Linked DNA regions of Kluyveromyces lactis. The main gene of each other region encodes a partner of the protein of the gene in region 7 in a complex. Links are inferred from orthologs where the notes say so. Each region holds a gene or a part of one and is shown on either strand. Other genes may lie near its edges.

Region 1 (3,132 bases), on a different chromosome or scaffold from region 7:
ATCTCCATACCCAAGATCATTTCATCGGGAAATTCTGGAGATAAATCGATCATAAGACCACCATAACCACATCCGATATCCGCAATGGTAACATCTTTCGTCATTTTCTTCTTTTCACTATCGTAGAAATGAGGGTACAATTTTGACCAGTCCATATGAGCTGGGCTTATTGGATACTCCAACTGATGATCACTGAATGGATTCGAATGTGCTCTTTGTCTGTAAAACTTTTTTTTAGGTAAAGATAGTTTATCCACCTTTTCAATCACAGATTCATCGATCTTGACATGTTTCAATTCTTTGCGATGATCTTGCTTCTCAGCACGATACGCCTGGCGTCTAGTACTAAAACTCATATTTTCTAACAAAGGCAGTTATAGGAAATTTGAGTCACTGTTAGAATTCAATTATGTTTATTCAACACACATTAACGGTTGGTGGAAGTAACTGCTTTGAAAAATTGTAACCTCATCGCCTAGGTTTTCTCGACTCAATTGATTCAGTGCATGTTCAAAAACTTTTTATTTCTTTACAATATACAAATGAGATCAAAAAAAGTCACGTGCAAAGAATATGTACAGGAGTTTATATTAATATGTGATGGGTTTATTTAAGTACATCGATACGTAAAAATGATTTATATTACATTTCATGATGGGGCAAAAGACTTTAATTTCCTTCGCTGTCATTCTCGTTTTTCTGCTTATCTGGGTTAATATTATCTTCGTGAGACTTTAGAGTTAGGTACAACATGTTTGAGCCAGCTTCTAAAGTTTGAACTAAACCAGCACCGCTCAAGACGTGCAATAGTCCCAGTAATTCTGATTGTAATTGACTTTTTGTTGGTAGATCCTTGAAAGAATCCAATTGTCTCAAATCGTACGCATCATTTTCAACTTTGGCGCCAATAACGAATAACTTGTCTTGGGCTTTTTCCAATAATTTCATGACTTTTTTTACCTTTGCCGGATCAGTCTCTGGGAACGAAATTGCTGCCGTAGGACCTTTGAACAAGGGCAGTAAAGGATGCTTCCAGTCTTGTTCTGAACGTTTCGCTGGAGCAGCTGGGTCATTTTTGCGTGAGTTTCTCAAGTATACTTGGAACAAATTGTTTCTCAAGATTGTTAACTTGCCTCCTACCTTATTAATTTCTTCTCTGAAGTGTGCATTCTCCCCTTTCATCAAATTGTTATGATGACAAAACAACATTACCGGACTGGTTTCCATCAGGTTTTTGTAAGAGTCGATTAGGAAAGTCTTACGAGAGTCCAAAGGCTTTACTGTTCTTCTAACTGCATCCGAGACAGTTCTCTCAATTTGCGTAGAGGCAAACCTCCTAACCAAAAACGGAGAAGCATATGAGACACGGGATACCACCACTGGGCTTCTTAACAAAAGTGACAACATGGCTATTTTGAGTGGTTGGTGATGACCTGAGCTGTGGATTCGAATCACTTTAAGCGAATTCATTCCCACCAATATATCTCTTCACTACAATATATCAATCTTCAGTGATTTTTCAGATTTTTCATTTTTTTTCAGATTTTTCAGTATCGTCGAATTTCAATACTTGGTACAATAAACCGACGAGAGGCATAGTTAGATTCAATGTAAGAAGGTATGAATGGTAATTGGAAGTGGTATGAGTGCCAAAATCGGTATCAACAATGGAGAAGGGAATGAAGACTTTCTCGTATATTTTCCATGGCAGCAAAAAATGTATATTGGTAATTTTTTATATATCTTCTTTATAGTATATATAATCCCGAATGAGGCAAAGGTCGATTCACGTGACTGTTCAAATTAAAATGATAGAGGAATTGGTGAGTTCTGCTCTTCTTTTCGAACTGCAAACTGTCATTGCTATCGTCAACATCATGCTTAAATAATGTAATCCGTTATAGACGTCTCCTGTCCAAGCTAGGAGGGATGTCGAAAGATTAGATTTCTTCCTTACAAAAGGTAGTCCGGGATTTATAGGGTCGTAGTGAAATTGTGAAGAGATGCAACTCTACTTCGTCATTGAAAAAATAAATGCAGTCATGTAACTGACGAGAATAATGCACAATTAGTGTAACTTCATCGTTCCATTGTGGAATTTGTCGCTATTCGGGATTTTCGTACATTTGAAACAGCATAGCTCTGTGCTGTAACGGTCTGGAAAATTATCTCATCTCATCGACAAGGGTTTGCATTAGTTGTCTCGCATCCATATCACGGATACGGCTGACATTGGATCCTGCCCAATGTGCTGCGAAAGAATTTGCGGTACCATCATGATCTGGAATAGACACGGCATTTAACTGCTTCCCCACATCGTATGTAAATGGATACCCTGGATGTATCACTCTAGTTGGAATATCCACCTCAGTGTGCCAACTATTCAACAAAGCTCGCGCCGGACGACCTGATATGCTGCTTGTGATTTGAGTTATGTCATTTCTTGTTTTGTCAAATAATAATTTCCTGTAATTTTCTGACGCAGCCGATTCTTTGCATTGGACAAATGCGGTTCCTAATTGAGCACCACTGGCACCTACTTCCATCATTCCTTTAATATCTTGACCAGACATTATTCCTCCTGCTGCTACTATAGGAATAGTTGTGCCCAACTTTGCTTTTAGTAATTTCACCAAATCTCTCGTGGATATTGCCGGATCTAATGATGCGTTAAACATTCCCCGATGACCACCCGCTTCGACACCTTGAGCGATTAGGATATCTATCCCGTGCCCAATAGCCAATTCAGCCTCACTTAATTGAGTCACACTTGCCATCGTGACAACTCCCGCTTGCTTCAATGATTTTAAAGTGCTCGCAGATGGCACTCCGAAATGGAAACTAACCACTTTCGGTTTCAATTCTAACACCACTGCAAGCATTTCTGGATCTTCCAAGAAACTGTTATAGATCTTGGTTAATTCCTTTTCAGGTTTAGTATGGAACCGAGCAAATATTGGCTTCAAATATTCGATCCAATTGCGTGCCACCTCCACGTTCAACTCTTCTGGCTCATGACAGAAGAAATTGACCTGAAATGGACTCTTGGTTAGCTTCTGCGTCGCAATTATGGCGTTTCTTGCTTTTTCGACAGAACTTGCTCCAAGTCCAAGCGATCCTAAACCACCAGAA
Region 2 (2,657 bases), on a different chromosome or scaffold from region 7:
AAATCAAGGCTGGTGAAGTCAGTATCGACTTTGACAAGGCTTTTGCAACTCCAGATATTGTTCCACAACTTGCTTCTCAAGTTGGTAGAATTTTGGGTCCTCGTGGTTTACTGCCAACTGCCAAGAAGGGAACCGTCGCCGAAGATCTTGAGCCATTGATTAAAGATAGTATGAGCTCTGTTCCATTCAGACAACGTGGTAACAGTATTAGTTTAGGTGTTGCCAAGACCCATTTCACTGACAAGGAAGTTCTAGAGAACTTGTTGGCAACACAGAAGGCTTTCAAACAATCTATCACCAATCAACAAACGAAAAAACCAAGCATATTGTCCCAAACTACGCTGACAAGTACACACGGTCCTGGTATTGTGATTGACTTTGCTTAATAAAGCAACCCAATTTTTATGAACAATAACTGGAATTGTTGTCCTTGTCAAGATAGAATGAAACTTACTTCAGAAATAATGCCCATGTACATAGAAATCGTTAATAGAAAAAAGATTCCTTCTGCAATTGATAACTATAAACCTATCCGATAGAATCATCTTAATGTCATGCCAGCTTTCTGATGGCAAAGCTAAAATCAAAACTGTTCCGTTTTCTTAAAATACATAATGACGATGTGGATATATATACAGGAGATTCAGCCATTCTTTATAATCAGGCGCTTCCATAACGTTCCTGGTTTGATTGGAAAGTTGAACAGAACTAATAAGTCAAATACCATCTGCCTTTATTCTTTCTTCTTTTAAGTATCTGTTGTCCACTTCTAGATCTTGCCCTTGCTAGGAACCCCACTCTTCTCTTTCTCTTTAAAGTACTCGGTTGGAAAGTGTTACCTCTACTTTTCCATCTTCTCTGAGTCAAATCGAACAACATACCAAATATTGATGAGCCATTTGCTTGTGTTTGAGATTGTAAAGTGATTTCCATTGGATTGACTTGCGCCAAAGGTCTATGAAGACGTGAGTCTAGTGTTCTTAAAGGTGAGAAACTAGAGAAACTGGTTAATGTACGTTTTGAGGTCCACTGAAGAAGATTTCTTGTTATAAAACTCATAACGACTGGATGAGATTTTATTTTAATTGTTCTTCACTTCGAATTAAATCCTTATCGATAACTAATGAGTAGTTCGGGCGACTACTTTTAGGAGACTTCGTCTTCAAGAAATATGTCCTGGTTTCTCTTCGTTTGATTTCTTTGAATTCAAATTTTTTCTTTCTCGAGACTAATGTAAATGTATGAAAATATCGATGGATGTTGGAAATAGTGAAAGCATCTGTGGAAGCGAACAAACTTGGCTTCTAGCAAACCGCTGAAACTTCAAATCGGTCTTAGACTAGTCTGTTACAATAAGTGTATTGGCGGTTTCATTTCCTGGCTAACATTATTATTAAAGTGTTTTCTATTTACATTGAGCTAAAATGGTAGCTGTAGGTAAATTATATATCACGTGATGTGTGTTCATAAGTCAATTATGTTCTTCCTCAAGGGCAGCAGCTAAGTTCTCGCTCAAATTTTCCTTCGACAGGACAAATCCGCCTCTAGCAAGTTCACTTATTTCGAACTTCCCATCTTTGAAAAGGTAAGATCTGCTGGCAACATTTTTATACAATCTTTTCGTTCGCCTATTGAGATCTGGGTCGTTAACTATTGACGTTAATATAGACTCTGCATCTGAAGTCAGCACCGGATTTTGCGAGTAGAGCAGGTCACTAATTAGCTTGACCTTTTTCTTAAACAAGTTATCGATCCTGATGTCGGCTATATCGAAACCATCAGGTTTCATTCCGATCTCAACGATTGGTGCCTGGAGTTTTTTTGTAGCGCATAGTTTCGGATTTGTCTTCAAGAAATAGTAATGCTCGAAAATTTGCCGTAGTGTCTCCTTTATCTTTTCTGCAGGGAGTCTTAATACTTCTGTAATTTGAGTTGATTGAAGACCGTCAATTCCTGTGATATCTTTTATAAGTTCCTCATTCGGAGTCTGCCAGTTTTTCGGCCGCAGCCACTTATGACGATTGAAGCTCAAGAAATCCAAAGCATCCTTATTGTTACGAGACCATAAAATCGTTTGAGATGTTAGATTTGGGTCATCCATTTCTAAAATCGAGTGCTGCATTTCATAGGGCCAAAATTTTGCCAACTCATTAGGGTATTGTCTCAATATGTCTACGTGTTTAGGAGGATCGTTCAACAAATGGAAATGAACAGAATAGACTAATTTCTCCAAGGTCTTGCGTGTTGGATTCTCATTGAAAGAGTTTAACCGATGTAGCGTTTCATGTTGCTTATTCTTGGGGAAAGTGTCCACCTTCGAAATGGCGTCTTTAGTTATTGAATGAAGACCCTTGTATAATTTCGAAGTTCTCAGAAGACTAGCCTTCATCGTCAACCTCCAAAACTGTTGTCAAAAAAATACGCACAATACTTCACAGTATGTCCATTCGATTATGACCTATTTTAAACAGTAATAACCTTCGTCTTTAGATTAATACAGAACCTCTTCCGAGCCTGTTCTCTGTATGAAGATCGTCATGTGTGTGCTCTAGGCTAGAAAATTTTCGTACCTACTTACTATTCCATATTGCAATTTGGAAAGCCAGACACGAAACGAAACCAGGAAGAACAGCGACACAAACTCACATTTTGTAGTA
Region 3 (2,983 bases), on a different chromosome or scaffold from region 7:
GATTAAACAAGCTGTAACACTACCATATATCTATTAACAGTGTATATATTGATGCTCTAATCGTCAGAAAATTTTTATAATACTTTGAAAAATTGTGAAAAGCTGTAGCAGTATAGAAGTTCCAGAGGATGATTACCCGGAGGAGTGTTTGGGAGGGTATGGGAAGTGAATGGAAACCATGAGATGCCTAGCCTGGGGTCTAAGTGGGCAGTCCAGCGGCCAGTTTGGTGGAATGTCCAGGCCCAGACCGGGCAGTCCAGCTTAGGGAGGAAACGGGACAGGCCCTGCCCAGCTCGAAGCAAGCAACGAAGACGGATGGGATGTGTCTGTGCATCCTACCGTCAGCTCAGCGGATTTGGTGGACATGAGAAAATAATTTCCTAGTATGGAAACATTCTCATTTTCAGCAGAAATTGAGTATGTATGGGTGCAACAGTCAATAATGTCTGGGTGCAACAGTCACATGCACACCGTTCAATTCAATTGAACAGTGGGTGATTAACTCTTGCATCGGTCAGTCGGACAACTAACGCATAGTCTTCAAGCATCCTCCCAGCTCATGGTAGAATCTATTTTCTCATTGTTTACAAGCTTTTATATAAAATTGGAACAAAATCTATTCAGTTCTCATACAGTAATCGTACTCAAATCGAAATTCAAGGCCTTTAATCTCGATACGATGTCTGCCACGTCACGGGTAGCAAATTGGTCCATGAATTTCTTAAACGATAGATCTAATCCATCCGCTTTGTGTTCCATCTTTTCCAATGGGAAAAGGGTATGCAATAGTTTACGCTTACCAGCAGTAATTCTCAATGGTTCTCCATCGACAACAACTTTGTACAATACGGTGACTTCGTTGCCATTGGCATCTGTGACAGTCTCAGCGTCCTTATGTACAGGATTGGCAGCTTTTTCCTTAGAGTTCAGTAGTCTGTAACGGAGTTTCCAACCAGTAGGTCCCAATTCCTTAATTCTGGCGGCCTTTTCCTTAGTCAAATAGTTGTCAATACCACCTTCCTTGGTAATTGTTCTTAAAACTTTTGCTGTCATCTTAATACTAATCTTTCTGTTCAAAGTCTCACTCCATAGTCCTTTTCTAATAACGTTTGGACTCCATGATCTCCTGGTTTTTGTCTTCGATTCAGCGATGTTATTACCGAATTGGATGAAAGACGCACCGTATAAACCTTTGTTACTCTGTTTGTAAATTGGAGATTCTCCGTATGGATAATCAGGGAATTCCTTCTTCTCCTTTGGGATATATAATGGCTTGCTGTCGCCGACTTGATACGTCTTTGGAGTTGGGATCTGTCTGCTTTCAACTAATCTCCATTCTCTGAGGAGGTGGCTAAGAGTGGAAAACCCTCTTTGGGAACTTGGAAAAAACTTCATTCCAGATGAACGATCTCCGTGCTTATTGGTGAACGTACAGAGACTCTTAGACCAACTAGCTTCATACTAGGTTCAAGCTCCTTCTCTTCACCTTAGTGCATGTATCAAGTCGTTATTTTCTAAAATTTTGAATAAGCTTTGGAAAGATCAAAACCGTATACAGCGAGAATGGTAAAGCATAAGGAAATTTATGATTAGAATACACCTCTGCGTAATGGTTGGCGGTATCATGTATGTATGAAGGGTATGTATATATGTACGGCTGGATGGATATTGTGAATGAGGTCCCTGTTGCAATTTTTCTCATTTCTTCCATGGTGATTTGAAAGCCCAATTCCCGAGACGATTTCCCTTTGGATTGGTGGCATCTTTGGTCCAAGTCTTACCTGTGCGTAATTCATAGTTCTCTTTTTCTAATTCGTCAAGGCGTGTTCTGAGCTCTTGATTTTCGTCCATAACTTCCAGATTTCTTTCCATTGTTCTATTCAAATCTGCTTTCAAATCTGTGGGAATTTCAGCATCTGGATTAGGTAACGTTTGTTTATAAAGTTCACGTTCCAGTTGTTTCTTCAAATCTTCTATCTCTAGTAATAAATCCTTATTTTCGTCCTGAAGAGTTTCCATCCGAAGTCTGTTTTCAATTAGTTCATTGGCAATAGTGATATGCTCTCTGTTTAATAGCGAATAGTCATTTTCTAATTTCTTCAACTCTTTTTGAAGCTGTCTGTTTTTAATTCTTTGTTCCTCATATTGTTGTTCCTTTTCCGTTTCCAACTTGTGAATCTCATCGTACTCTTTCACGTAACGCTCCAATTGCAATGGAGTTAATTTGATTTCCAACGAATCAGAGATGAATCTATCAATATCGTACTCTTCTGGGTTCTCCTTAGAAGCATAGTGTTGGAAAAGGTCCTCCTTCAAGAAGTCTAAGAGAGAATCGAAACTGAGAATGATCAAATTACGACTGTTCTTTAACATCAACGTTAAACTGAATTTTAGCATCGATTCGATACCTTCAAGTATGACAATATCCATGATTCTGAGAACGAATTCAAGGGGAAATTTGTATGCGAACATCGTCAGGAACCATTGAGTTGCAAACATTGTAGATCTTATTCCCTGCCTGATCAAATGGTTATACAATTGAGGATCATTTTCCTCCAAAAGTGTATCAAATTGGTACAATTTCAACATCAGGCCAGGCATTCCCGGCAAGAATAAATCCCTTAATCCGTATACTTTCATGAGTTTCGTTAATAGAGAAAACGCTTGCCATTCTTCTTCACAGTTCAATATTAAAGTAGTAGCAATAAAACCCATGCCCTGTGTGTAACCAACTGGTGGGTCATAAAGAGAGTAAGCCTTGAGCACGCTGAATAAAGAATCTGTCTTACCTTCTGGGATGAACTTCGTTCTAGATAAATCTCTTTTGATTGCCTTTTCATGCGGTGACTCCAATAGAAGTAAGGAACAGTATAACTCCTCCATCTCCTTGTAATTTGAACTGGTTAGTAGCTGCCATATAATACCACGGACTTGAGTTGGGATACCTTTCCCTACTTCAGTTTCTAATTTCTTTGAGTCATCC
Region 4 (2,771 bases), on a different chromosome or scaffold from region 7:
GAAGAAAAGCCATCTTCCAATCCGAATACAGGTGGCGCAGCTGGAGCAGCAGCAGCAGCTGGAGCAGCAGCAGCAGCTGGAGCATCTACGAACAAGTCTCTCAATTTGAGACAATCTGTAGAAACATTATCTGGATTAGTTCTAAAGTTGGAAAGCTATATTGATAAATTAACCGAGGAAAATACCCGCAAAGATGAAATTCTTGCTGCTTTGGAAGCAAAAGTAGATCGTCTTTTGGAGCAAGGGAAATAATATCAAATATGAAATACATCCTTCCCTAATTCTTCTCGTTTTTGTTCTGTTAAATGTTCTTTCTTCCAGGCAAAAGTATTATGCTTTGGCATACTGCGATGTAATATCTTTTCTATCTCTGTATGTGATTTGTATGTGATTTGTATGTGATAATTAACATATCTAAATAACAATCTATATGTACATAGTAAAGTGGAAGAGTTTAGTACAGTGAAAAACGACAGACATTGTATGCGTACTAAGGAGAACCATTTAGATCGAATAATAATATATACAGGGATTTTACATCACATGCTGCCGTTAACTTCTCAAAAATTAAGAAGTCACATAAAAATTCATCCACACTATTTCTTCTGGTGTTGCAGCTCTAGTTGCTGATCAGCAAATGCGGTGATATTACTCTTGTATGGATGTTCACTTCCATCGAAAATTTTTAATCTAGCAAGTCTGATCTTACGAAGTTTATTCTTGGGAAGCATTCCGGACACAGCCTTCTTCAAAACTTCACTGTAACCCTTGTTACTGATCATGTCTTCCATTGTAGTCAACTTTAATGAACCTGGTCTAGAAGTATGCGACCAGTACGTCTTTTGGGTCATCTTGTTCCCCGTCACACGCAAAGCTTGGCAGTTCGTTACCACAACATAATCACCGCAATCAGCAGATGGATGATACACTGGCTTGTGCTTCCCCATTAACGCTAGAGCAACCTGAGATGCCACCCTACCAAGCGTTCTCTTGTCCTTGGATATATCAACATGATGCCACATCCTGGCAAATGCCAAACCAGTATGTCCTACCTTTTGAGACATACTTCTAATATATTGTTATTTTGCCTCCTTTCTGACAGGTTAAAACGTGGCACCTAAAAAGTTAAATTTTAAGTGATGCTATTCAACTGTAATCACTTAGGTAAAGGGATAGTTCGGGACAGTCAGTTGTCTTTTAACTCATCATATGTTTAGCTTGACAATCGATTTGATTAATTGATGTTTAATTTCAGCTTGGAGCCAAATTTTTTTCAATCGCTCATATTACTGTTACCCGGATGTTAAACACAATCTATATACAAGCTACTAACAAATACCTACAACTCATCCTGAACTATGTCGTCCTTCGTAAGTTTAGTCTTCTGTTTGTTCTTTTTAGTCTTGGACTTCTTTGACTTTGATTTATTCAAAATAGATTTGAGGTATTCTTGTCTCTTACTGAGTGGACCTTCCCTTGGTTTTGACTCGAATTTCGAAAGGAACGTTGCAATGTCATTTTTATCTGTAGTTTTTAATATGTCTAGTTCGTCATAAGTATCTGTTTCTCTATCTATCACTACGATTCTGGGCGATTGTAATTCAGTTTCACTTTTTTCTAACGATTGGAGGTATTTAACAGTATTTGGCCAATTCTTTGTATCGTTCTCAAAACTCAATTGTGACACGCCTTGCAATTTCTCGTCCCAGATCGAATAGAAATCGTAGATCCCAAGCCAATCGAGGGCTACAGATTTATATAAAGTTGGAATCTTCTCCTTCTTTGAGATAAGCACTACAGCGTACCTGGTTCTTGAAGATTTTAATAGTTCTTCGAACTTACTGTAACGGTTCAACCGCTTCACGTAGTTTTTCACTCTAGATAAAGCGAAATCGACAATGGGCTTCAATTTCCTTTCTCCCTTGTACACTTCTGTGGCATGCTGTGACGCAGCACCATTGGAATTTTTCTTTGGGTTATCCAAATTGATCTTTGGAGGCCTGAATACCATTAACGTTGGGAACCCCGATACTCTGTTCTGTGCACATAATTGTTTATTCACACTTTCATCACAGTTCACTCCAGCAACTTGTACCATTCCAGAGAGGATTTTACCGGCAGATTTCATGGAACCTTTCAATTCCTGACAGTAACCACACCACGGAGCATAAAACATGACCAAAGTGGTGTAATTGGTCCTATGAATGACTTTATCGAAGTTAGAAGGTGTCAATTCCATGATATTCTCATCACGGTCGTAGAAATTGGCTCCGAACGCCAGTTCGACCAACAAAAACAATGCATATAGAAGACGTGTGTACATCATAGTCTGGAGGACTTTAGAAAATGTTCAACGATGGAAGTTAACAAGGTGGTTTACTCTCTTCTCTTTTTGTCAATTTCGAGTGATGTTGAATTTCTTGGCAGCAGTGGACCCAAAGATTTGATTTTGAAATCGTTAAAAGGAACATCGATACATAAGAACTAAGAAATAAGGGGACACGATCCCATCATCATCATCAAAGGAATAAGGAAACACACAATAGCAGAGCCAAGTGATTAGAGAATGTCATTAGAAACTAGTTCTCCATACGCATTTTATGCTTTCTACCAGTTATACAGCCAATTTTATCGCGTGCCTAAGATAACACTAGAAACCGTGAACGATTTTTTGTATCAGGGGAAAGGTTTAAAACCTGAGTTTGCACGGAGTCCCCTATTTGTCACATGGAAGAAGTTGAAGAAAGGTGAATACCAACTTAGAGGGTGTA
Region 5 (3,334 bases), on a different chromosome or scaffold from region 7:
ATACAAGCCAAATCCAGATTTGCAATTATTTGAATACGGTTCATTGGCTTTGTACGTTTTGGGTATCTGTGTTTTCTTAACAAATATCAAGACCGGTGTTGAATCTGCGGTTTACCATAACTGGGGTGAAGTCTCTGAGGCGCAAGGTATTGCTGTTGTTGCCTCTTCCAATATCATTATTTTAATTGTCTTTGCTGGTGTCTTAGTGTTGCAAGGAGGTTTGTGGTACAGTACCTGGGAATATGAACAAAGATTAGATCAATGGAGGAAAGACCAATTGAAGGAATCTGCCGCTAACCAACAGAAGGCGGAGAAAACTACTGAACCAGCTAAAACGGAATCTAAGAAGAAGAAATAGACGAAATTTGTTTCCTTACAGTTTGATGCGGTGAAGTATTTCGCGTTGCTTTCACTATTTACAAGCTCTTGTTCTATATATTATATAAATGATATGAAATACTTGGCTATTCCGACATGGATAACTTGAGATGAAACCCAAAGACAATCTAAGGACCTTATTATTGATGATTTAATTGCTGTATATTATCTTCACCCATTATCATTGGAAATAAACGTAATATGATAATGTTTAATATCTCATTACCATTTGTAAACACCACCCATAGAACCTCTGATGGGTTTATCTGCTAATTGAACCCACGGTTTCTTCCTTTGTTCTTTTAGTTTGGCTTCGTGCTCTAGTCTTCTCTTCGTTACACTCTTGGTCTTCAATATGCATTTGATATGCACATATGGGTGTTCAATGAGACCACGTCTACCTCTACCCTTCCATTCGACACGTTTTTGCCAAAATCCATCACTGCCGGTCCATATCTGGGAGATGTATAGGTCATTGGCATCCAAGCCAAGCTTCACACCATCATTAATACCGCGCTCCAATAATTCGGCAACATCACGGGCAACCTTTTTATCGGAGAAATGACATTGAGTCAAAGCTTTCTTAGCGTCCAATCCGTTCAAAAGTCTAAGCAGCTGTGTGGCCTTCTTCATAGATGATTTTACTCTGTAAGATTTAACATAGACACTAGGTTCAAGCACTTCTAATTCTTCATTCGTTAATCTCAAAGAACGATCTTTAGGGCGCACGCTTTTGTCGTAAAACCCACCGTTCAACCTAACCTGTTGTTCATAGAATTCCTTCTTAACTCTTGGTAACAAAAATTCTGGTAAACTTTTGATCATGGGGTCTTGTTCTTCGATATATTTCTGTAATTGTGTATCATTGGCTGCTGTAACTTTCTTTTTAGCCTCTGCCAGCTGGGTAGCAGCATCCAAATCATCTGACAGTTCGGTAGCAGTAGTCAACTTATTAGATAGTTTATTTGGATCGTCATCCTTCAACGGATTCACTCCATCGGTGACTTCACCGAATAGCGAACCTTGTGCAGATTTTTGTAGCTGCAATGCTGAAGCTTGAAAACTTCTTACACCGGAAGCCTTTCCCAAGCCGAACAGGCTAGTTACTGTCCTCGATAGCATTAAATTTTATATAGGTTGAACTGATGACAGAGCCTGCAACTAACCATGTAATTTACACGTGCCTCTAGTATTATACTGTAGGCATTTTATTACTTTGATCAATCCTTCTTCTGTACAATGTTTGATTATCAAAATTTTTTTGTTCGATGGTTAGGAAATATAAATCATCGTGAACGGGCATGAAGATATAAGGAATGGTTCTACTGTGTGGAGGAAGATATTGAAGTCCGACTATCTTGACGGGTTGTAAGATCACAAATTAGAAAAGCGTTAGTGTGGAATTGCTAGGAATTAAACCTTAAATATGAACTATATAACTGAAGATGCACAAAGAAGTATATTGAATAGAAGGGAAAATTTAAGTACAAATTTGAAAACTTTGTAATTAGAGTTTGGTAAGATCAGTGTTCGATTAGTTCCGTTAAATATCCGTGAGCGTTCTGTGGGTTTTCATCGTAAGTAACTGACATTTCAGTGTCATGTGTACCCTCATCGGTGGAAGATGACACAAAGGATGAATGTAGTGATGTTGTGGAAGGCGTCTGAGACTCTGGATCTGCAATCGATACAACATATTCGTCGTCGAATGGATTTGTCGTCTGTGGCCTCCTGACAGAATCTGCAACATATGGAGGCACTGAGGGCAAACTTTTTGAAACTTTGTTATTATTATGAGCAGTCGTCGATACTCTGGTTGTAGTCTTGGTGGTTTGCTGAGACTGTGCAATAAACGTTCCGATATCGTCGTATCCCATTTTTCTCCCAATGTCGTGGGAGAAGCTCTTTTCGTGTTCGATAAGATTTCTCCTTCGTCTCTTCCTAAATAATAAATAGATCACCAGTATCATTAGCGCCAGACCTCCCACGCTTCCTATTACACCACCGATTATTGTATCTTTATTTGATCCAGACGATGTTGAGTTGGAATCCAATGCGCCAGATAGCCATCTTTCGTAAAAAGATGTGTCAGTCACAACTGGACCTGTAGGTGTAGTGAAAGTAGCCTCTGTGGGTATCACTGTAAGTGTCGGTAGTCCTTTAGTAAAGGTGGTTGAAGTGTCAGTAAAGATGAAATCTCGTGTGTAATAAACCACAGTTTCAGAAGACGGTACTTCAGTGGTCAACGTTAACCAAGTCGGTGTAGGCACAGTGGCAGTAGCTTCTGTACCCTCAACAGATGTGTATTCTTGGGTCGCGGTGTTCTCGGGATAAATTGTTTGCATTACTATGTTGCTCGGTCCTGAGCTCATCTCAAGTACCGTCACCATTGCCGTGTCTACATCTGTATGCGACGTTGAATCATCTGTTGACGGCGGTACCCAAACTGTAGATGGCGATACTATGCCAGGTGAATCCGAATCCGAATGTGATCTGTTTGGATATACCAGAACCGTCCTGGTCTTCATACCATGTGGCTGCTGCGTAGAATTTCCTGAGTCAGGGTTGATGTAATCCGTTCGTAAACTAGCAACGCTTTGTGAGAACGACTCCGAACTTTCTGTCAGTGTATCTGACGAAGAAACAACAGATGAATAATCAGTACCGTCAGTGGTAGTGTTGAACAACATCTTTAGGTGAACTGGCCAGTGAGATCCTGTTATAGATCTTGAAATTTAATAGTTTCCTTGGTACAACTGCTTTACGCTTGTAACGGTTTTTCGGTAAAAAAAATGATGTAGCAATCGACTTCACCCTTTCTCAAGCAACTAGCAACTTATGTATCGTCACCCACTACCTTATAAGTCCTGCCTTAGCGTCCCTTGATGGATGTATAGAGAAGTTGACGACGTTACCCTCGCCTATTTCTCCTTATGCAAGGCTTCTATTAGTAGAC
Region 6 (2,608 bases), on a different chromosome or scaffold from region 7:
GTCCAGGAGAGAGAAGAGTTTAGGGATATATTGATGAGATGCGTATGCGACATGTTACGTTATGACAGTGACAACAATCTTATCAAGGAAACAAGTAAGAATGAGTTGGGTGCCATAATTTCCTCATGGCAAGATATCGATACCATATTTACATCTGATCTAGGCAGTTGTAACTACATCTGGTTTATCACCAACTATACAAACGAAAATTTGGAAACTAAGCTTGAACCACTGGTAGAAGTTTTCGATGAATTAGGATCCCTAACTCAAATGTCCCTTCTAATGGGTGTAGTGAAATGCCATAATGCAGTCTCAAGTGCTTTCTTACAGAAGATCTTGGAACTTTGTACGACAGACGTCCACGATTTGGACGTTAGAGACATGGCCATGATGTACTGGCGGTGTCTATCGATCGACAACGGTGATCAAATCATCAACCAATTATTTGACAAGCATGAAATTCCTAAATTGCATTCTACCTTGGACCACTTCTCCAAGGAAACATTACAAAGTCTACTTCAAGAGCTCTCCACTCTATCCTCTGTGTATTTCAAACCAATCTCGCAGATGCAACGCCGTCCCAACGAAGTTCACATCATTAAGGATAAGGATATTGATGAATTAAAGGGAATGGCCACGAACGAGATCCTGAAAAACATGAACGATGATGTACTACTTGACATGGGTGATAGCTCTGCCACGAGAAGTACAGGCGTCCTGGACGAACTAAATGATCTTTTCGATATCACTGGTGATATGGGGAAAGTAAACATTTCACAGAAAACCAATAATAACAACAACAACACCTCGAATTCCCATGCAACCGATCTTCTAGACTTAATGTAAACTAGTTTACTCTTTTGAACACCTGTACAAACTATAATTATAATGGGAAACAATGAAGCAGATAAACTTCAATCATGGATGTGCCTTTCTAAAATGTTAATTTATTATGGTGCAGTATCTACTACTATATACAAGTAACCCCAGTGGCATGTCATGTCATGTCATATCATGTCAACTTTATTCCTTTTGTTTCTTGAGAAGATCCTCAAGTCTCTCAATCTTACGTTCCACTATCAAGTCACGTTGACGATCCAGATTAGAATCCTTCTGGTATGATAATATACATTTGCGCATAGCGTCACGAGGTTCGTTACACGCTGGGAAAAGCTTCAATCCATGAATCTTTGAACATTCGACCATGGCCTCCACGTATTCTACACATTGTGCATATGCAAATTTCTTCAAATTCTGACGAGCTTCTTTCTCCTCGGTAGGGTTCAATACCCAAATTGGTAATCTTTGATTATGCTTTCCAACGCCCTCTGACATTTCTAAATGAATAATCTATCTTTGTGGTGCAGTATTCCAGTACTATAAGAACTTCTGACCTATGGTTATGGACACAGCAGCAGCTACAAATGACAATACGCTGGCTGTTCCCCAAAATCGTTTAAATCAGTTGACATTGTTCATTTGCATAATGTTGAGATTTAAAGCTTTTTCATGGATACTTTGAAAAATTTCGAAGGTTTAAAAGATTTAATACCATGAATTACGGTGGGAAATTGGTAAAAGCCAGCCAGTAGCACCGTTATACAAACTGTTTAAGCAGCTCGTTAGGTTCTGTCATACCCGGGTCAATTGAATATCTTTGTTTCATAGAGAAATGTTCGGTGCATTCAGAGCTACACAACCTGCATTAGGTGGATTATTATGGAAAGTCCCATGGCGTATGTCTGGTCCTCAAAAAGCAAGACAAAGAGACCGTTTGAGAAGCGTTGATGATGTTCTTTCAACTCTTAAGTTAGGTCTTCATCTTGAAAGAAACCATATGGCGGTTTCTGAGGGATCTCAGCTGAATCTACGTAAGATTAAACCTCGTGTGAAGAGCTTACGTATTTTAGACAAGGCTCAGTATTTCCCAAAGGAACCGGAGATGTCTGCTACTGATAAGTACAGTGTATTCAACAGGTACTCGAAGGGATATAGAAAGGGTATACATAAAGTTCCCAAATGGACCAAGCTTTCCATCAGAAGAAACCCACGTCATTTCTGATTTGGATGAATCATCATTAAAAACTTCTATTATTACATAGTAAGTAGCCCCTGTACATAGTGAATAAAATCAAGGTATCATAGTTCATCCCAGATGTTGTGAGATGATGATGATGATGATAATGGACGGGCTTCATTCCTTAGATCGAGCAATTGGTCATTATATAGTGCTACGTCAAGGGAATGGAACAACTTCAACTTTAGCACACGTATCTTGTCATCTTTACCGATCGGTTCCTCATCAATCGTGTGGGCAGCATCAGTATCGTCATTGAGTAATTGTTTCTGTGTTTCTACGACCTTTTGAATACCCTCTTGTATCGTATCTCGAAGCTGGTTAATTTCCTGTACCAGTTTATCTATGTCTTGTTGCAATTTCGGTATGTTTAATTCGTCCTCTACGCGTTTCACTTGGCTTGTTTGCTCCTGAAAATTCTTTTTAAGTGCCTGCACTTTAGTTTGCTGTCTTTGCAGCTGTGATTGCAATTGTTTCATGAGCTCATTGTGGTGTGTTTGTTTCTCAGCCATCAATTTCGTGAGCTGTCTC
Region 7 (3,088 bases):
TTATTGAACTTCGTTTTAACTACCTTCGTAGCTGTGGTTCCTAAACTACCTGTAACTCACAGGCTAAGAATAAGCATTCCTGGTATCACAGGACCTGCTCAAATCAGCTAAGAAAGGGAGTCAAATGAATGAATCAAACATTAAAAATAGAAAGGAAAAAAAACAAAAACAGAGAGGCAGGAGATTCTCTACCTGCCTCTCCGGTTCACATCAGAAGCGATAAAATATCTCATGTTTTTTTCTGTTGTCTAATTGACCAGAACTGGGAGAAACTCGCTTCGTTCATATCGTCATTATCATCATCATCATTATTATTATTATTTTCATCATCATTATCATCATTATCCTGTTCCTATTTAGACAGGAACAAAAAAACTAGAAACTCCGTGTACTAATTGGAATAGGAACTTATAAAGAACATTAGAATGCCAATCTTAGTATAATCAGCAACAGGAAAAAAAGAAACAAGATTAACCGTTTAGTGACTAAGTATGACATTAAATGAGCACCTGCCCGTTATTGAACCCTTCCATCCTGAACCGTGAAGATCAATACAACGGAAATTCAGGAATCAAATAGAAATCTTATACCGTTACTCTTTTTTCGCTTCATTTTTTTTCAAACTGGGACATACTGCACTTAACTTTCCCTTAATATTCACCACAATGTATTTATCTTTTATACATACATATAGTGTTCTTCAAACTTATTTCTCATTTAAACATTGAAAATGTTCACAAGTAGTCGTCATATTATTTTGCTATGACAGTTTTTAAATCAGTACTATATTTCATACATTATATTTACAGGATGTAATACTTTTACTAGAATTTAATTCATGAAAGAATAAATTCTCTGAAATTCATGTGCTTTTAGCAAGGACTTCACTGACCTTCTTGATTTGCTCCAAATATTGTTCCTTCTTTGCCTCTCTAGCCTTCTTATTCACTAGTCTTCTTTTAAGGAATCTAGGAATGAAAGGTTTTGCAGTTTCCTGGTATGGTCCCAATACACCATCGAATGCCTTTGAAGGTTTGTTAGCGTCGGATCCTAGTCTCATCCTATCGTTTCTGTATTTTTCCAATTCCTTTTGGAACTCAGTATTCCATGCACTCTTGTCCTCAGGTTCTGCAGGCCAGATAAATGGTTCTGCCATATCGATAGTCATCTTCTTGATTTGAGGACCACGGTACCTGGGCGACACCGGCGTAGCACGAGTGTATCTGGCATGCAATAACTGTGTAGTAACGTTCAACGCTCTTAAACCATAAAGGTGGAATAAATAATCTCTTAAATCTAATTTGTTAAACGATTTAGGAACGATGAATTTCGCTTGATATGGAGTGTGTTTAGCATTTGGTCTTAGTAGAATAACTCTCGCTTTAGGAAAATAGAGCTCTGCACCACCAACTTTAAAATGTGGTTTCTCAGTTTTAATCGCTTCACGAGTGTACTCCAAGATTCTGCTTTGTACGGATTGACGAGGTCTCTTGAACTGACTGGCTTTGACTGCTACTGTAGATTCCGTCTCTACCGCAGTAGCAAGGTTTCTCAAACCCTGTTTGAGAGATGGGAAAAAACGAGGCATTTGTTATAGATATTGAACAGAAACACTGGCGCAAAGATTACTACTTCACTTCGCTCTGCACTCGCAACTGAAAAGTCCCAAATAATCCTGTTCTTGTATGCGTCTCTTAGAAGCCTCATCTTCATACAAATCTTAATGTTAAAATCGAAATCATTTCAATGAAAAGCTTTAAAATACTCATTTTCCATGTTAGTAGATATTAGAAAAGCTGATGAGTACACATTTTGGCACGAATCTAACGTAGAATATGTCGTACAAAACTGGAGAGCTCTGGGATGTTTTAGAAGAAAGATTTTTTATTGGAAAAATCAGAGCGTAGGAAATGATCTTCACGTGACCTGATATATTGAAATTTTTGAATAAATGCTGTTACCCGTTTGTGACGTGGGAAATGATGTTCTCTTTATAGTGAAGAAAAAAAATACTCTGGAAGCTTGAAATTGAAATATTATTGTTTTGAGAGGCGAAACGTAATTACCGATTGATCGTTAATAGGAAGATTGGAAGAGAGAAGAGAAAAGAGAGTACCAGTCGGCTTAATCATCTTCTGTCAGAGTGGGGTTTGTTTCGGATTATTGGGTAAGTCCTTAACTCTTTGTATTTGGGGTGTGTTTTCTTCTTTGTTTGACCAGTAATACACATTTCTTTTCAGGTTGCGAGCAACACAACAAAGAGTGTTATTCTGTACTTTAATAATAAGCACGCACGTACGCATTATTTGCCACGGTTGTGAGGTCAGTGTAGATTATTAACGTTTGCAATTCTTAATACAGACCAAGGATGACTGAATACTATGATGAAGATCCATATGGGTACGATGAGGAAGAAGCTGCTATTTCAGCAGAAGATTCGTGGACTGTTATCTCCGCTTTCTTCAGAGAAAAAGGTTTAGTATCTCAGCAGTTGGATTCTTTTAACCAATTCATCAACTATACGATTCAGGATCTTATCTTGGAAGACAGTACCTTGATTTTGGAACAATTAGCACAGCATACCACTGAAACGGACAACATTTCCAGAAAGTATGAAATTTCATTTGGTAAGATTTATTTGGCCAAACCATCCATGACTGAGTCAGATGGTGTTTCTCATGCGATGTATCCGCAGGAAGCCCGTCTCAGAAACTTGACTTACGCATCAGGTTTATTTGTGGAAATTCAGAAGAGAACTTATCAGGCTATTGATATTCCAGGTCGTGATTTGAAATACGAAATTATCACTGAGGAAAGTGAAGAGAATGAGGAAAATAATAAAATTTTCATCGGGAGAGTACCTATCATGTTGAGATCGAAGTACTGTTTGTTGGACGATTTGACAGAATCTGATTTGTATCGTTTGAAGGAATGTCCGTTCGACATGGGTGGTTACTTTATCATTAACGGTTCAGAAAAGGTTTTGATCGCTCAAGAACGTTCTGCAGGTAATATTGTCCAAGTGTTCAAGAAATCTGCTCCTTCTCCAATCTCACATATCGCAGAAATTAGATCTGCTCTAGAAAAG

What was found.
Region 1: MRP20 (region 7) and MRPL11 share a complex: the UniProt entries of both Saccharomyces cerevisiae proteins name them as parts of the mitochondrial large ribosomal subunit. The link is inferred for Kluyveromyces lactis from reciprocal best matches to the Saccharomyces cerevisiae genes MRP20 and MRPL11.
Region 2: MRP20 (region 7) and MRX14 share a complex: the UniProt entries of both Saccharomyces cerevisiae proteins name them as parts of the mitochondrial large ribosomal subunit. The link is inferred for Kluyveromyces lactis from reciprocal best matches to the Saccharomyces cerevisiae genes MRP20 and MRX14.
Region 3: MRP20 (region 7) and MRPL24 share a complex: the UniProt entries of both Saccharomyces cerevisiae proteins name them as parts of the mitochondrial large ribosomal subunit. The link is inferred for Kluyveromyces lactis from reciprocal best matches to the Saccharomyces cerevisiae genes MRP20 and MRPL24.
Region 4: MRP20 (region 7) and MRPL23 share a complex: the UniProt entries of both Saccharomyces cerevisiae proteins name them as parts of the mitochondrial large ribosomal subunit. The link is inferred for Kluyveromyces lactis from reciprocal best matches to the Saccharomyces cerevisiae genes MRP20 and MRPL23.
Region 5: MRP20 (region 7) and MRPL22 share a complex: the UniProt entries of both Saccharomyces cerevisiae proteins name them as parts of the mitochondrial large ribosomal subunit. The link is inferred for Kluyveromyces lactis from reciprocal best matches to the Saccharomyces cerevisiae genes MRP20 and MRPL22.
Region 6: MRP20 (region 7) and MRPL31 share a complex: the UniProt entries of both Saccharomyces cerevisiae proteins name them as parts of the mitochondrial large ribosomal subunit. The link is inferred for Kluyveromyces lactis from reciprocal best matches to the Saccharomyces cerevisiae genes MRP20 and MRPL31.

Annotation. Positions count from the first base shown.
Region 1 is NC_006037.1:292,660-295,791, forward strand, and holds MRPL11 (mitochondrial 54S ribosomal protein uL10m), read right to left. Parts: upstream 1,408-3,132; coding exon 670-1,407; downstream 1-669. Other genes in the region: TRM8 (tRNA (guanine46-N7)-methyltransferase), read right to left, coding at 1-356; KLLA0_A03289g (putative nitronate monooxygenase), read right to left, coding at 2,166-3,132. UniProt on the Saccharomyces cerevisiae protein: Component of the mitochondrial ribosome (mitoribosome), a dedicated translation machinery responsible for the synthesis of mitochondrial genome-encoded proteins, including at least some of the essential transmembrane subunits of the mitochondrial respiratory chain.
Region 2 is NC_006042.1:1,781,226-1,783,882, reverse strand, and holds MRX14 (mitochondrial 54S ribosomal protein bL34m), read right to left. Parts: upstream 1,060-2,657; coding exon 709-1,059; downstream 1-708. Other genes in the region: MRPL1 (mitochondrial 54S ribosomal protein uL1m), read left to right, coding at 1-386; GEP5 (Gep5p), read right to left, coding at 1,472-2,389. UniProt on the Saccharomyces cerevisiae protein: Component of the mitochondrial ribosome (mitoribosome), a dedicated translation machinery responsible for the synthesis of mitochondrial genome-encoded proteins, including at least some of the essential transmembrane subunits of the mitochondrial respiratory chain.
Region 3 is NC_006040.1:1,064,334-1,067,316, forward strand, and holds MRPL24 (mitochondrial 54S ribosomal protein bL28m), read right to left. Parts: upstream 1,396-2,983; coding exon 628-1,395; downstream 1-627. Other genes in the region: KLLA0_D12584g (uncharacterized protein), read right to left, coding at 1,699-2,983. UniProt on the Saccharomyces cerevisiae protein: Component of the mitochondrial ribosome (mitoribosome), a dedicated translation machinery responsible for the synthesis of mitochondrial genome-encoded proteins, including at least some of the essential transmembrane subunits of the mitochondrial respiratory chain.
Region 4 is NC_006040.1:210,184-212,954, reverse strand, and holds MRPL23 (mitochondrial 54S ribosomal protein uL13m), read right to left. Parts: upstream 1,065-2,771; coding exon 597-1,064; downstream 1-596. Other genes in the region: CRN1 (coronin), read left to right, coding at 1-252; protein disulfide isomerase MPD1, read right to left, coding at 1,340-2,326; KLLA0_D02464g (uncharacterized protein), read left to right, coding at 2,567-2,771. UniProt on the Saccharomyces cerevisiae protein: Component of the mitochondrial ribosome (mitoribosome), a dedicated translation machinery responsible for the synthesis of mitochondrial genome-encoded proteins, including at least some of the essential transmembrane subunits of the mitochondrial respiratory chain.
Region 5 is NC_006040.1:701,621-704,954, reverse strand, and holds MRPL22 (mitochondrial 54S ribosomal protein uL22m), read right to left. Parts: upstream 1,501-3,334; coding exon 601-1,500; downstream 1-600. Other genes in the region: SHR3 (Shr3p), read left to right, coding at 1-358; TDA7 (Tda7p), read right to left, coding at 1,902-3,068. UniProt on the Saccharomyces cerevisiae protein: Component of the mitochondrial ribosome (mitoribosome), a dedicated translation machinery responsible for the synthesis of mitochondrial genome-encoded proteins, including at least some of the essential transmembrane subunits of the mitochondrial respiratory chain.
Region 6 is NC_006041.1:1,082,264-1,084,871, reverse strand, and holds MRPL31 (mitochondrial 54S ribosomal protein mL60), read left to right. Parts: upstream 1-1,672; coding exon 1,673-2,062; downstream 2,063-2,608. Other genes in the region: APL2 (Apl2p), read left to right, coding at 1-846; CMC1 (Cmc1p), read right to left, coding at 1,024-1,335; kinetochore-associated Ndc80 complex subunit SPC24, read right to left, coding at 2,140-2,608. UniProt on the Saccharomyces cerevisiae protein: Component of the mitochondrial ribosome (mitoribosome), a dedicated translation machinery responsible for the synthesis of mitochondrial genome-encoded proteins, including at least some of the essential transmembrane subunits of the mitochondrial respiratory chain.
Region 7 is NC_006038.1:504,636-507,723, reverse strand, and holds MRP20 (mitochondrial 54S ribosomal protein uL23m), read right to left. Parts: upstream 1,589-3,088; coding exon 863-1,588; downstream 1-862. Other genes in the region: sphingolipid homeostasis protein ORM2, read left to right, coding at 1-111; DNA-directed RNA polymerase II subunit RPB2, read left to right, coding at 2,369-3,088. UniProt on the Saccharomyces cerevisiae protein: Component of the mitochondrial ribosome (mitoribosome), a dedicated translation machinery responsible for the synthesis of mitochondrial genome-encoded proteins, including at least some of the essential transmembrane subunits of the mitochondrial respiratory chain.